Linked DNA regions of Tamandua tetradactyla. Each later gene encodes a partner of the first gene's protein in a complex. Links are inferred from orthologs where the notes say so. Each region holds a gene or a part of one and is shown in the gene's direction. Other genes may lie near its edges.

Region 1 (7,118 bases):
TCTGGATGCCACAGTATAGTCCATGACCCCACACTCCAAGGCAAATGTCATTATTTTCCCCACACAAGCCACTGCCAAAGGACTGGATGGGACATGGGAGACAACCACAGGACGGCAGCCATGGAGAAGACCTCGGATCACATAGTTCTACACCCCCCTGCGTTTCACAGGCAGGGAAACTGATGACGCGGGACAAGCAGGACCTCAGCTGAGATGCCAACCCAGCATGAAAACGAATCCACAGGCTACCAATGCGTTTCCTACTCAGAATACTCAATCTTGGCTTGTGAGAAAAGTGCTGACCTGGAATATCTCAGAGATGGTAAGAGGACCCAAACACCTAGGCCATGGGTCTTCTCTTCAGGGAACAGGTAGCCAGAACCCCAAACGCTAGACGGGACACCACGGTGTCCAACAGTTCATCACAACTGCTCAATACAGTTATTACCTAAATTATTCACTAAATTATTGTTTTAGTTGTCCCCCAACTAAAACAAGAATGACATCTTCCAATGAGGGCTCTGCAGGACAATTCTGTCCCCGGGGGATGATGCAAGGCCTCAGAGATCATCGGTAGAAGCTAACAACCCAAACTCTAGAGCCCAGAGTGCTAGAGAGTTTTTTAAACTTCTACCCTACGTCCTCCTAGGGGAAGCCCCAGTAAGGAAAGACAGGGACTGTCCGCGGTGAAATCTGTACTCCCCTCTCTGGAACTGCAGAGGAAGCCGGCCACGTGACGCAGCCGCTTCCGGAGTGGGAGAAGATAGGTTAGGCCTGGCCCTCCCCAAGAGAGAAACCCTTGCCCGAGGCAGCAGCACCTCCGGGCCCTTAACCCTTAGCACCGCTTTTCCCGACGGGCATTTCAAACCCTATCCCCTGCGGCACGAAAGTTGGACAGCTCAGGTCGAGCACAGTGGGCGGGGTGTTCTCAAGCGGTAACCGCCTGGGTCATTTCCCTCGGCTCGGCTCCACCCTCAGGCCATCTGGGTAGGCCGATGGCCCCGCTTGTCCAGGGCCTCGGCCCCCGCGGCCGGGCCCGAGCGTGTGCGCACGCGCCGGCCGCCAGCGCCGTTCCAGCCCGTGCCGGGTATACCCAGCAGAGGACCCGGATCGCTTTGCGGGTTCGCTCGCTCCCGTGCGCGGGCGTTGGAGGGGAGGCCCCAAATCCAGCCCGACCAGGTTCCCACCCGCTCTCCGCCGCCCCAGCATCCCCGCTTTAGCCGCGCCGCCCCCGCCCTTCCCGGGCATCCCTGCCACCTGCTCTCCAGACAGGCCCGTTAGCCGGCCGAGGGAGGATGGCGCGGAGGCACGAACAGCCCTTGGGTGGGGCGCACGTGCCCAAAACGCTCGCGCGCCTTCCCCTCGCCGCCCCCGGGCTCTGAACGCCGCATGCCCCGGTCGAGCGCGCGCCCCACGGGAACCGACTCGCTTCGGTCCGCGCCGCCGCGCGCCGGCTGCATCGCGAGGGGCAGGCGCGCGCGCGACCCGGACCCCTCCCCCCACGACTGATGTCCGCGCGGGCGCATCAGCGGGATGGGGGAGGGGAGGGGAGGCCAGGGGGCGCGCGAGCGACGTCCGAGCCGGCCCTCCTCGGCGCCCGCGGGCGCGCACGCGCACCCCGAGCCGCCCGCCCCTCAGCGCGAGACCCTCGTCCCGCCCGCGGCGCCGGCTGAGGGGTGCCGACGTCGCTCCCCGTCCCCTGCCGTGCGCACAGACGACCGGCCCGCAGCCGCCTCCCCTCGGGCGCTGAGGCCTGCCGCTCACCATGTTTCTGGATGCTAAAGGGACACAGCAAGGAGAACCGGAGAAGATGAGAACCGCTGCAGCTGCCGCCGAGATCCGACTGAACGCGGCCTCTCCCGACCCCTTCCGTTTAGTATGAGCCGCACAATGAGGGGCGGGGCGGGCTTCCGGCGCCCCTCCCCGCGGGCGGACGGGAAATGAAGTCCGAGGGTCCTGCGCCGTCCTCCGGCTCGGCTGGTAGCGGGGTCTTTCTCGACAGCCGGCCTCCGGCCCCGCACTGCATGCCGGAAAGTGTAGTCCAAGGTTGCGGGGAGGGGGTCGGGAGGCGGGCAGTGGGAACGGAGAACGCGCCCATTGGTGGTTTCCTAGGAAACGCGCTGACCTGAGCAATCTGTGCCGCCGCAAGTAAAGGTTGACAGGGAAAGGAGCCCCGACTTGGCGGCTCTTTATCCCGAAGCCAAACGATTTTCCTCAGACCCATGTTGGCACTTTCTGGATCTCTCAGTCTGGCCAGTTTGAGTGGGGTTAGGATTTTGCTTTTCGGAATGGAAGCAATTATCCATGAACTGGAATCCAGTTCTAAAGCAAGGAAAATGACAAGTACAAGGGCCTTCAATCCAGCATTCACTCAGCACCCTCCGTGTGCACAGCCACTCTTGTCCCCCGAGAAAAGGCCATACGCAACTTTAAAAAAAAAAAAAAAAGGAGAAAAGAAACACAAGGGACAGGCAGGCTACAGGGAAAACTTTGAAAGGAGGACTTTGTCCTTGTTTAAAGATGTTTGGCAGACATTCATCCATGGGGCAATGAAAAGGGAGGGCAAGGATTTGTGCATTCAATTCAAGGATTCTCTACGTGCCTTTTACTAGACACAGAGGAAAGGAAACATATTAAACCTGACTCGAATCTCCGTGCCCACCTCGGATACCTTGACTTCAAGCTCCCCACTCCTGTTCAAGTTGCTGTTCTCGAGTTGATAGCCAGTTAGATGATTAAACTAATACCCGCAAAAACTGAAACTAACGAAATAAACCGTTTGGGGTGAAGGGCTCCGGGAAGACTTCGCTGACCGGGACAATGACCATGACCTCACACCCTGCAAGAAAAGGCAAGATTGCAAACAAGTCAGAGACAAACCCAGCAATGGGACCGGGGGCGTGGATCTCATAAGCCGAATAACGGGTGTTAACGGAGAGCAGGCAGCCGGGTCTTCGCGAAGCCCGGGAGTGGGGGTACCTCGCAGAACATGCCGGGATTTGTAGTCCGGGATCTGCTGCTGTACCTCCCCCACCCCCACCCCCACCCTCGAGCTCCCGGGAGCCCCAGGGGGAGGCCGCAGCTCGAACCCCATCTTTCACAAGGGCGCGTGCCAGACTGGTAAGTTGATCCCACCTTTTTCGCGCTTCGCAGTTTTCAAGCGCAGCGAGGGGAGTGGGGCGGGCTTGGTAGTTACCCTGGAGACGTGCTCCCGCCCACCCCCCAGCCGCGGGATGCCCTAGATGTCCTTATTAGGACAGGAGACTGGAGGGGGTGGGACCAGCCCGAACGCCGGCTCCAGGCTCCTTATAAGGCCGCTTCTGGCGGGAGGCGGGCGTCCCTAGCGGTTTCGGGGTACCAGGGTCGCGGACTGGGTGAGGTCTCGAGGGGCGGGCCTGGAGATCTGCATCTAGCGACTTCCGGCATATCAGCCCGAGGCCTGGGTCTGCTCCAACTCCCTAGTGAGACCCTTAAGCCCAGCCCCTCAACCTTGAACCCCTTTACACGGTTCTTCAAACCCCCTGGGGGTGCCCCACCTCCAATGTGCCACAAAAACGTCCAAAGTGTTCTCCCCTTCTCCCTCTGTCTCGGCTTCTTACCCGCAGCCTGCTACCCCGGATCCAATCATGCGCACCCCATCTCAGGCTCCCCACCTACCAGCACCTCCTACCTGTAGTCCCCTTCTACCTGCCCTCGGCCTTATCCCGCCCGTCTGGCTTCGGCCCTCTTTTCAAGTCCCCGATTTCACGGTCCCCACTCTGCCCTGCGACCCCTAACTCCTGACCGCCATTTCCTCCGGTGGTCCTTCAGCAACTCCTGCCTTCCCTCTGTGCCCTCCCCTGTATCCTCACGTAGATATTCCTCCCGCAAATACACGTGCACCCATCTCCCACCCACCATCCCTCTCCGGGACTCCTCGTAAGCCCAGTCGGGCTGCCCAGGCTCTGCAAGGATGAGGCGGAAAAGCTCGGTTAAGCGCGCCCGCAACGCGCACTGCCAGCCGCAGGGGGCGCTGTCCGCCTTGCTTTCGCCCGCCCGCGGAGGATCTTCCCTAATCGCCCGGGCTCTGGACGCGGAAGTGGGCGGAGGGGCGTGGCTGAGGCTCGCGGGGCCCGGGTGGGGCGCGGGCCGAGGCCGAGTTGGGCGGTGGGAGCGAGCGGAGCGCTGAGCCGCGGAGATGGCGCCGGGAGCCACTTAGAGAAGTGTAGGGGCGGGGAGGGGGAAGGGAGGCTAGCCCGGAGTTAGTGTCTCGCGGGCGGGACCACGTGATCGGAGAGGCCCGCCTCCCCTCGGAGCCAGGTGTTCGAATCTCTCTCCCGAGCGGGCGGCGTCGCAGTCCCGCGAGCTTGAGGCCTGCCGCGGCGCCCATGGCGGCGCGCGTCCGCCTGGGCCGGAAGCGCCCACTGCCGGTTTGTCCCAACCCGCTCTTCGTCCGCTGGCTGACCGAGTGGCGGGACGAGGCCGCCAGCAGGGGGCGCCGCACTCACTTTGTATTTCAGAAGGTGGGTCCCGGCCGGGCCCGAAGGGGACCAACGCTGGCCGGGCTGGACGCGGAGGCCTGCCCTGACCCGGTACCGCACCACTTCTCCCCGCCAGGCGCTGCGCTCCCTCCGGCGATACCCACTGCCCCTGCGCAGCGGGAAGGAAGCTAAGATCCTACAGCACTTCGGAGACCGGCTGTGCCGGATGCTTGACGAGCGGCTGCAGCAGCACCGAGCATCCGGCGGTGAGCGCAGGGGCCGGGGGTGGTCGTCTCCAGCCGCCCACCCAGGTGCAGCCTCTGTGCCCACCTCGGATACCTGGGCTTCAAGCTCTCGCACACCTGTCCCAGTTGCTACTTGATCTCTGGCCAGTGGCAGAGTCCCTCCCAGCCTCCTCCCCAGCTGCCGGATTCCTGTGGGAATGCCAGGAATGACTCTCGTCTGGCTCCGCAGGTGCCCATGAACCGGGCTCACCACCTGGAAGAAAGAGCCCTGCCCAGGATGGGCCACCTGCAGAAGCCCAGGATCCTTCTGTGTCGGTGAGGAGGGGGCCGGGGAGCAGAAGGAAAGATGGGATCACCAGAAATAAGGTTTATCTGGTGATATGGATGATTTTGAGGAATATTTGACATTTAGCAGGCCTGGAGACAAATCTCCCCATCAGTGATGCCTGGCCTCCGGCAAGTGATATCCTCTCTGAGACTTGTTTTCTCATCTGTAGGCAGGGATATTGGCAGGAATCTTTCAGAAAGTTCTATGAGCAAGCTTCATAGGGGGCCCAGCCCGGTACATCGTTGAGGTTGCCATTACTGAGTTGCCCTTTACTGAGATTGTACCGTGGGCAGCGGTTCTGGAGAACTGAGGCTGGATCAGGCAGTTCCAGTCCCCCACAACCATTCCCTGTCCCAGCCCAGCTTTGCAGGGAATCATCCAGTCATCTGACTAGTTTTGCAAATAAAACTGAGAGGCAGCTGAGTGACTTGGTCGACCTAAACCTCAAGTCCTCTGGCCCTGCCAGGCGTCCCCACAGAGCCACTGTTCAGAGCCCTCTGTACCTGGCAGGTTCCAGCCAAGCCCAAGGCAGGAGGCTCTGGTGGCTACTGGCCAGCTCGGCACTCAGGGCCACGAGTGGTGCTGCTGCTGCTTTATGAGGAGCACCTGGTGAGTGTCTGGCCTGCCCAGGAGTTGGGAGAACAGAGGCAGTGGGAGCAGAGCAAAGGGGGCTGAGCCTACCCTATCATTTTGACCTTGGTTTCAGACACCTGGCAGCCCTGGCTTCCTAACCAAGGAGCAGCTGCTGCAGAGGTGTTCTCAGAAGGCTCCTAAGGTGAGCACTGGGGTAGAAGGAGGATGGGGCTGAGCAACTTTACTTCTAACCCTGAGCCCACCAGAGACTATCCATCAGGAGTGAGCAATATGTGGGGTCGGACCCATGGCTGGGAGCAGGGATAATGTGGACACTCAGCTCCAGTGAATCCCTGAGAGCCTCAACCTACCCTGCCTCCCCATCAACAGGTAGCCCCTGAGAGTGCTCGACCCTGGCCAGCCCTCCGTTCCCTCCTTCACAGGAACCTCATCCTCAGGACACACCAGCCAGCCAGGTGGAACCAACTCGGGGAGACACAGGAAGCAGAGAGGGGGCATGACATCTTCGTGGGGTGCTGCATTCATCCAGCAATGCCCAGGCTTCATGCTAGGCACTATGGAGACTGGGGCAAGGGTACCAGGAGGGTCTGAGAGATGGAGGCAATGAGTGGAAGAAGATTGCCAGGGGTTACTGGAGAAGCAGAAAGGCTTTGCTGAGGAGGCAGTATCTGACATGTCTTAGAATCCAATGCAAAGAGATGCAGGAAAGACATTTCAGGAGGAGAGAACAGCATGAGCAAAGCTGGGAAAAAAGGAAAGTTTGAGGCATGCTTACCACCTGAGATCTGAGAAGTGGTGCTGGGGAGGTCCAGAGGAAGCCAGTCTGATCGTGCAGGGCAAGGACAGCCTGGGGAGGGGAACCCAGGAGACTTATTGTGCAGGGTCGCCAAGGGGGCAGGGCAGGCAGCCTCACTGGGGGCAAGCGGGAAAGCCTGCCAGGCTTCGGTGAAAAAAGGAGATCTGTGTTCATCAATTGGGTCTTCCAGGTACTCACTGACCCCGGAGGGCCTGGAGCTGGCCCAGAAGCTGGCTGAGTTGGAGGGACTGAGCTCACTGAATGTGGGTATCAGGCCAGAAGAGCCCCCTGGGGAGGAGGCAGAAGTGCCAGGAACAGCTTCAGCTGAGCTGTGAGTGGGAGGGGAAGCTATGGGGGCAGAGCCCAGTGGAGCAGGAGGGCTCTCTGAAATGAGGCCAACACCATACCCCTACGTCCATCACCTGCAGCTGAGCCCGGCTGCTCCCTGCCTGTACCCATGGTGGGAAGAGTTGGTCTGCCTTGACCCTGGGGATTCCTGTCTCCCCACGCACTAACCGCCCCTCCCTGCAGTGGTGCCGGCGAAGCGGGGGTCCAGCAGCCACTGCTGGAGCTGGGGCCTGGAGAGTACAGCCTGCTATTGTGTGTGGATGTCGGCGAGACCACGGGGTGAGTGTGGTGCGGGAACAGGGTGGAGGTATCAGCAGAATGCCAAGGGGGGAGTGCCGCCTGCCCTG
Region 2 (7,463 bases), on another chromosome or scaffold:
CGCAGACGTGAGCCAGGTGAAGCCCGCGCTCTCCAAGGCAGAGCGCAGTCACGTCATCGTGTGGCAGGTCTCCTACATCCCTGAGTGAGCTGCTCACCCGTCCACCTGGGCAGCCCTCCCTGCAGGCAGCACCATGCCCACCCCCCGCCAACCTCTCAACTCAACTCGCAGCTTCCCCCCCAAGGGCCCAGGAGGAGTGGGAGCAGGGCTGGCACTTGCACCTGCAGGCGCCGGAACCTCTTGGGACACTCTTTCCCCAGCAATTCCTGGCCGACAGCCAGCCCAAGCCAAGTCCCAGGGGCATCTCAGGGCCAGAGCAGGCAGCACTCCTAGGGCTTCCCACTCCCTTCAGCCCCAGGAATTCCCCAGGGCACTGGAGAGTCTTCCCACCCTGAGCCCACTTGTCTTTGGACACTTGTCACCCCTCGGGGAAAGGGGGTCCAAGCCTGTCTCCTAGGCTTTCCCTCTTCCTGAGAGGGCAGGGCTGAGGGTCTGGCTTTTTCCCAGGGAGCTAGGGTTGTGGATGCCCCTGGTGCCTGCACCCCAGTGCCTGGACCCTGCTAGTCCTCCTGGGGTTGGCCCCCTCCCCAAACTTCTGTTCCCTCAGCCCTGGTGTCTGGGGATTTGGCATGACAGCATCTGGCCGGGCTCCTTGTGGCAGTGCACAAGAGGACAGGCCAGGTCCCCTTCCAAGACGTAGGCTCCACTCTGCCCTCACCAACCCAATTCCCCTACTCCCACCGTCCTCAGAGCAGGGCCTCGAGGGAGCTGGCTCTGGAGCCCTGCCCCTCCTCACAGCCCCCAGGGTGGGGTTTCTCAGGCCGCCAGGGCAGGCCCAGGCTCAGGAAGAAGGGGCCTCTCCTCAGGCTCAGGCTGGTGGGGGTCTTCACGTGCCCAGCGCCCCGAGGAGTCCTAGCTCCAGACACATGACTAAGTGCCTAGGGTTGGCCGAGGCGGCCTGCTCTCCTGGGGGCAGCTGAAAGAGGCTGCTGCGCACAGGCCTGAGGGACTCCACGCGTGTGCATGGGAGGGGGCTCAGCTCCCAGGTGGGCTCCTGCCACCTGCCTGCAGTCTCACCACCCTGGTCGGCCCTCACTGAGGGAATGGCCTTGCCCGCTTCCCCTCCCGTTCCTACCCCTGCCTTGTTTTTGCTCCATGAGGCCCTGAATCTGGGCAGCCCAGCCCCGCTGCCCACCCAAGCCCACCAGAGAAGCACAGATCTCGGGCTGCCATCATTCGGCCTGGCGCCACTGCAGCACCAAACGCTGCAGGCTTGTCTCCTCTGCCCCACCTCTCCACTGTGATGTATGTACAGTCCCTTGTCTGTCCCCATGGTGTGTGAAGGGACTCGGGGGTTAGCCGGGTGGGTGCCTCTGGGAGCAGTGGCCACGTTACAACTGCCCTCAGGCTTTGGCCCTGTAAGTGAACCCACGTACCCGTTCTGTATGTAATAAACGTCCTAGCGCCCTACCTCTGCCTTTCTATGTGACGAAACCAACATGGCAAACACAAGGGCTTTCATTTTATTATAGAAAAGGAAATGGTATTCCCAGAGGGCTGGCTGTGGCTTGTATGCATTCCAAGTGTGCTGTGAACCCCTGCTGGGGTCCTCCACCTCCTCCTAAGAGCTCATCTGGGACTCCAAAGCCCACCTCGGTCAGGATCTTCCAGACAGACCCCCAGGAGGCCCTGGGGTTACAGGATCTCTGTGCGGGAGTGGCCTGCTGCAGGTGGACAGCTGTGACCCGGCATCCCCACTCGCATGCCAGACATCCCCAGCCTTTCTCAGCCATGCCCATCTGTGCCAGAGGTGGCTACTCGTGCAGCCAGTGCTCGGTGCTGTCCTCCCAGCACAGGAGCTCATCTGCATGGAACCAGAGTGCGATCTCACGGCGGGCGCTGTCCACAGAGTCGCTGCCGTGGATCACATTCCTGCCGGGAAGAGGCCCGGTGTGAGCCCAGTCTGAGGCGGATCAGTCAGGGATGCCACCTGGGGCTATAAAGGGGTGGTGAAGAGGCCGAGGCCCACCCTGCAGGCCTTACTTGCCGATCTCGATGCAGAAATCCCCGCGGATGGTGCCGGGCAGGGCAGCGGCCGGGTCAGTGGCCCCGATGAGCGCCCGAGAGGCGCGCACCACGTCCAGCCCCTGCCACACCTGTGCAGGCGGGGGTCCCGGGGGTGTAGGGTCAGCGCGGGCCGGAGACAACCCGCGCGGGGAGACAGGAGGTAGGGCCGGGGAGATGGAGGACGAGGGGCGACCCGGGGCCCGCCCGCGCTCACCATGGCCACCACGGGGCCGGAGCCCATGTAGCGGACCAGGCGGCCGTAGAAGGGTCGCTCGCGCAGCTCGGCGTAGTGCTCCCGCAGCAGCTCCTCGGAGGCCTGCGGGCAGAGGGTGCAGGTCTCGCGCCCCCCCGCGCCCCCACCCCGCGGCCCCCGCGCCGCCCCCGCCCCGCGCCCACCTGCAGCAGCTTCAGCGCCACCAGCTTGAAGCCCTTCCTCTCGAAGCGCCGCACGATCTCGCCCACCAGCCGCCGCTGCACGCCGTCCGGCTTCACGGCCAGGAAGGTGCGCTCGTGCGCGCCTGGGCAGGCTGCGGGGGTGCGGTGTAAGGCGCGGCCCGTTTTCCCGCCTGGGACCCACCCCGCCCGCGCCCCTGGCGCTCACCCGCGGGAAAGAGGTGGGCGAACAGGGTCAGCATCAGACAGATCATGATGGCGGCGGCGGCCCGAGCGCGGCGGGGAGGCGCGGGGCGGGGCCTGCGCTTAAAGGGGCCGCGACCCCGCGGCCCCGAAGCCCCAGGCTGCACCCTCGACCCCTCTGCCCTGCGTCGCAGCTCCTTCCGAGGCTGCGAGCCGAACTCTCCTGCCCGCCAAACCGCCGGCCCGCTGGACACTGGGCCAGAGCCCTCCACGACCCAGGCCAGCTGCACAGCTGTCATGAGAACTTTCTGTCTTCCTTCAGTCCTGACCACCAGCCATAGCTCACCACAACCCAAACCCAAAGAAACCACTTCCCAGACTCCTTCATTTACCTTTATTCTCTCTCAGGGCTTCACCCTTAAACCAAGCAGAGAACACGTTATAAGGGCCTGAACCCAGCACAGAAGTGATGAGAGCTGGAGATTCCGGGATAAGGGAACCCATGGCCTCCATGCCTCCTAGCCTCCCTTACTTCCAACTTTCCCCCAACTGCTTCTTCCTGCGGCTCTCACACTTCTGGCTCTAAAAACTGAGCGGGGGAGAACCCAGAGGCAGGATTTGGGCGACACTCTCAGCTAGATTGCACAGTCTCGGGTAAGACAGGGCACGACTGGAAAGTACGATCCCAGCTCTGCCAAAGACCATTTCTTTCGCCAAAGGGTCTGCATCCCCTTGCAGCCCTCGGGCAGCCTGCCCGGTTCCACCGCCTTAGACTGGAGTGCCCTTGGCCTTCTTCTCGGCCTCCAGCTTTGCAGGGTAGTCCCAGGGGGCGATGCGTGTCCTCTCCAGACTCAGCATGGGCTCTTCAGTGCTGGCGTCTCCCCTCTTCTGTCGTTCAGCGAGGATCATGGCCCTGAGGAGTGGGGGGTAGGGCACAGGACGCAGGGGTTCCTCCGGCGCAGGTGAGAAAGCAACAAAAGCCTCCTCCTCGTGCTTGGGCACCAGCCGCCAGTCGTGGTACATGACCTGTTCGATCTCTCGGGCCTCGCTCTCCGTCTTGCCTGGGGAGACAGTGACTGGCCTTATCACACTCTTACTACGCAACCTCCCTGCCCAGTCCCCGAAGCCATACCTTTGAAAGTCAGGATACCCCAGGCCTTCCCGTGGTCCAAGTTCTGCAAAGTAAATGGAGAGGGTGCCAGTTCAGCAAACTCCTCACCGCTGGGCTTAGGAGCCAGAGACCCTGTCCCAACAGTGGCCTGGACCTGGAAGGCAATCGCGGCCTTGGTGGTCGCGAGGGGAGGCCCGACGCGCACGGGCGCCCCGGGCAGGCTCCCGGGTGGGCGCACACGCACCTGCGCCGTATAGTCGGGCCGGACCCGCGTGAGGCGCCAGTAGCACGGCTCGTCGTGCTGCCACAGCCAGGACTTGCGCGTGACCAGGCGGCCCAGGCCGAAGAGCGGCAGGCGGCTGAGCAGCTGCAGGAGGCGGCTCTCGCGGCGCGCGTCGGTCCAGGCCCGCTGGGGCAGTTGGCGGCCCGTGTGCGGCCGCGTCAGCGTCTCGTAGTCCAGGGCGTAGCGCTGCGAGTCCCGCGGCCGCTCCCGCCGCTCGCGCACGGCCCGCACGCGCCGGGCCAGCTCCGCGATCAGCCGCGGCCTCACCTTCTTCCGCGCCATCGCCGGCCCACGGAGGCGGTCCGCGCTCTCAGCGCTCCGGGCGGAAACAGCCTCCGACGCGCGCCCCGAGGCCCGCCCGCCGCCGGAAGCGGCCGTTGCCCCCGGCAAAGGCGTCCGGGCGTGGCCGGAAGCGGGCCGGCCATGGCGAGGGCTGGGACAGGGAGCGCTGCGGGCTCGCGCCGGGGCCACCGACGGCCCCCGACCTGGGAGATCTCGGACTCGGACGCCGAGGGCCCCGTCCCCGCGGAGGTTCCCGCGAGGGCCCGGGAGCCGGCGGAGGAGCGCAGGGCGGCGGTCGAGGCACTGCGGCTGCTTCGGCCCGAGCGAGCCCTGCGGCGCCTGGCGGTGCGCGTGGACCCAGGTGCGGGGCCCTGCCTGCACCCTGCTTGGACCGCGGGCGTTGGGGCTGAGCTCGGCCCATTAGGGGCGGGTTCCCGGGGCCTCGGCTGCCTGCTTCCCGGCTGGCACCTCGTGAGAAATGCGGATTGCCGGGTCTGGACCCCGTCTGCACTCAAGAGCCGGTCGGGAATCAGCGTGTGCGTCAGAAGCATGTCCGGGAGGTTGCGTTGCACAGCCAGGCTGCGGGTCTGCCGGCCCCCCCTCCCCCAGTGGCGGTGAAGGAGGGGGTGACAGTCTCTCTCCTTCGGGGCTGGTCCAGCCATCCTGGAAGACGCTGGGGCGGACATCCTGAAGGAGGCCCTGGCCGCCCTGGGCTGCGAGTACCTCATCGAGCCCCAGCCTCAGGCCCACAGTCTCAGGTGGAGCAGAGTGAGGCCCGACCCCTGCCCCCTCAGCGTGAGTGACCTGCAGCAGCAGGGCTCCTGCTTCCTGGGTTTGCCCAGCACCCCACTGCATCCCATGTCTTATGGGCATGATGTCACATACTGCCAGCCGTCCCGAAAGGTGCCTGCCCTTAGAGAGGTGCTCTGAGAACTGGAAACATCATCTGGGTGGCAGGAGGAAGCAGGGCAGGGGCGCAGGGCTAGGGCCTTTGCCTCCAGAGCCTGGTCCCAGCTGCTGAGGACCCCCCATGCCCGTGACAGCGTGTGGTCGGTGTTCCCGCTGGCCCCACGGAGCACGGCTGGTCTTGGCCCTGGCAGGAGCCAGGATGTGGTGCTGGTGTGGAGCGGTCCTGGCAGGGCCTGAATCTGCAGGCTGAGGGTGGGCAGTCATGCCTCTGGATGTCCTAGCAGGTGCCCCCGGAGGTGTGGTCTGAGAACGAGCAGGAAGTGCTGCTGCTGCTGGAACCAGGGGAGTTTCTGCAGGGTGTTGCCCAGCTGACCCAGGTGCTGGGGGGGCTGGGGGACAGGCTGGGTCCTTCTCAGTTCATGGGCTCAGTCGTTGCTCCTGGGGGAGGGTATTTGCCTGAGTGCATTGGGCAGCCCCAGCTGCTGCTCTGTTCTGAAACCACAGAGACAGCAGGTGAGATGAACAGGTGGGAGCCACAGCTGTTTCTAGGGGACCAGGCAATATGGAAGGTGGGAGGCAGAGGCTGTGTGCGGGCAAGAGGGAAGGGTCTGGGACTGGCTGTGCAACTCCCTTTGCCTGGAGTGGAAAACACGTGTGATTCTTGTGCCAGAGCGCTACCCAGTTAGACCTTCTGCCCAGTCCCAGCATCCAGGACCCAGCATTTCTCAAGCACCTGTTGTAGCCTCGCCAGACCTTGGCTTGGGGGGCGCAGGGGTGGCCCACGAAGGAGGAAGCGTGCCCACAGGCCTTCTTAGCCACCCTGACACCATGGAGGCCCACACCAGCCTGGCGCGCTGGGTGTGGACACAGCCTTGGCTTACAGGGGTCTGACCCAGCTTGCTCGGTGCCCTGGATTTGTCCCGAAAGCCCCGCCCGCCCCCACCTGGCCGTCATCGGGCTGGATGCCTACCTGTGGTACCGCTCACCCTCATTTCCTCTGGGAGGGACCTTGGGAGCCAGGGAAGGTGGGGTGGTATTTCTGGGACTCCACTGGGTAGGCTTTGGGGGAAGCCGGAGAACCCAAGGAGGGTGGGGCCAGAATCCACCTCTGCTCAGGTCTCACCAGCCCAGTGGCCAGGGGATCCAGCAGGGGAGCCCAGCAGTGACTGGTGCCGAGGGGGCCGTCGGCTGGCCCCAGGTGGAGGAGGTGAGACTGGGCTGGAGCCTGGCGCGGGCTGGCTGCAGTGTGTCTCCCAGAGAGCCTTCCGACCCACCCTGCGGCTCCCTGCTCCTCAGGCCCTGGTGCTCCTACAGCTCTGGGCGGAGCTGGACGTACTGCTGGTGGCATCCTGGCAGGAGCTGAGTGAGCACGTGTGCGCCTTCACCAGAGCCTTGGCCCAGCGCCCCTACAAGTACGCGCCTCCCTCACCCAGGGCCTGGCTGGGAGGGGCTGGCAGGGGGTGGGTGTCCCTACCTCTTTGAGACTTCATGGAGGCTGGAGGGGAGGGGCAGCAGAGCAGCATGGACCTTCTGGAAGGACCCTGTGCTCCGCCCGTCTCTAGGCGATACCGGGAGGCCCAGGCGTTCTCCTTCTGCACAGCCGGACGCTGGGCAGGGGGGGAGCGCGTGGCACGAGATGGCACGGGGCTGCGGAGGGCCTGGCACAGGCAGATCAGCCAGTTTAACCGAGTGGGCCCAGCCGCGGCCGAGGCTGTTGTGGCTGCCTTCCCCTCCCCCCGCCTCCTTCAGCAGGTAAACTCCCCCAGCCAGACCTGGGGATGGGGTTGGGCCAGGCTTCCTGCCCACCTCCCTGCCTGTCCTAGGCTTACGTGGCCTGCAGCACCGAGCAGGAACAGCTGGCCCTGCTGGCTGACCTCCCCGTGACAGCGCCAGAGGGCCTGCGACCTCGCAGGCTGGGACCCGACCTTTCCCGCCGCATCTGCCTCTTCCTGACCACCACCAACCCTGACCTCCTGCTGGACCTGGGCTCCTGATGGCACCTCCTGCCCCCAGCCCGGCAGCATGGGGCTCACGGGGCTGGGATGGGGGCTCACGGGGCTGGGATGGGGAACAGGAAAGGCCACCCACAGTGGGGAAACCTGGGAGTCCTGCACCTTCAGCCTGGAGCGAAGGCACGGCAGGGCCTCGGGCAGGCCTGTTTCCATCTGGGTTGGACCTGACCCCAAGTTGAGTGTGAGGGGAGGTCTGGGAGCAGGGCAGGTGCTAATGACCCAG

What was found. Proteins that work in one complex are often made in the same cells at the same time.
Region 2: the proteins of MUS81 (region 1) and EME2 are in contact, whole or in part, in a crystal structure (PDB 7F6L), measured with the Homo sapiens proteins. The link is inferred for Tamandua tetradactyla from reciprocal best matches to the Homo sapiens genes MUS81 and EME2. Residues at the interface, in NP_079404.3 of Homo sapiens: His330, Glu351, Phe354, Lys357, Arg358, Arg363, Val365, Glu381, Leu385, Gln386, Thr389, Asn390, Gln392, Val393, Ile394, Phe398, Lys400, Arg401, Tyr411, Leu414, Leu415, Arg417, Gly418, Leu419, Arg421, Leu422, Pro447, Ile464, Lys467, Ala468; in NP_001244299.1 of Homo sapiens: Glu140, Arg177, His179, Glu220, Glu221, Val224, Leu225, Gln227, Leu228, Trp229, Asn231, Leu232, Asp233, Leu235, Arg245, His246, Ala249, Val250, Lys252, Ala253, Leu254, Gln256, Tyr257, Lys260, Gln261, Glu264, Gln266, Phe268, Phe270, Cys271.

Annotation. Positions count from the first base shown.
Region 1 is NC_135335.1:8,665,141-8,672,258, reverse strand, and holds the start of MUS81 (structure-specific endonuclease subunit MUS81), read left to right. Parts: upstream 1-4,102; 5' UTR 4,103-4,367; coding exon 4,368-4,502; intron 4,503-4,596; coding exon 4,597-4,726; intron 4,727-4,934; coding exon 4,935-5,020; intron 5,021-5,543; coding exon 5,544-5,642; intron 5,643-5,739; coding exon 5,740-5,808; intron 5,809-5,996; coding exon 5,997-6,082; intron 6,083-6,613; coding exon 6,614-6,754; intron 6,755-6,954; coding exon 6,955-7,050; intron 7,051-7,118. Other genes in the region: CFL1 (cofilin-1), read right to left, coding at 1,765-1,767. UniProt on the Homo sapiens protein: Catalytic subunit of two functionally distinct, structure-specific, heterodimeric DNA endonucleases MUS81-EME1 and MUS81-EME2 that are involved in the maintenance of genome stability.
Region 2 is NC_135349.1:55,714,263-55,721,725, reverse strand, and holds the start of EME2 (structure-specific endonuclease subunit EME2), read left to right. Parts: upstream 1-4,460; coding exon 4,461-4,680; intron 4,681-4,977; coding exon 4,978-5,114; intron 5,115-5,512; coding exon 5,513-5,605; intron 5,606-6,111; coding exon 6,112-6,203; intron 6,204-6,344; coding exon 6,345-6,435; intron 6,436-6,524; coding exon 6,525-6,640; intron 6,641-6,790; coding exon 6,791-6,980; intron 6,981-7,051; coding exon 7,052-7,222; 3' UTR 7,223-7,463. Other genes in the region: MAPK8IP3 (C-Jun-amino-terminal kinase-interacting protein 3), read left to right, coding at 1-88; NME3 (nucleoside diphosphate kinase 3), read right to left, coding at 1,815-1,932, 2,044-2,156, 2,282-2,383, 2,464-2,594, 2,669-2,714; MRPS34 (small ribosomal subunit protein mS34), read right to left, coding at 3,412-3,704, 3,776-3,818, 3,999-4,319. UniProt on the Homo sapiens protein: Non-catalytic subunit of the structure-specific, heterodimeric DNA endonuclease MUS81-EME2 which is involved in the maintenance of genome stability. In the complex, EME2 is required for DNA cleavage, participating in DNA recognition and bending.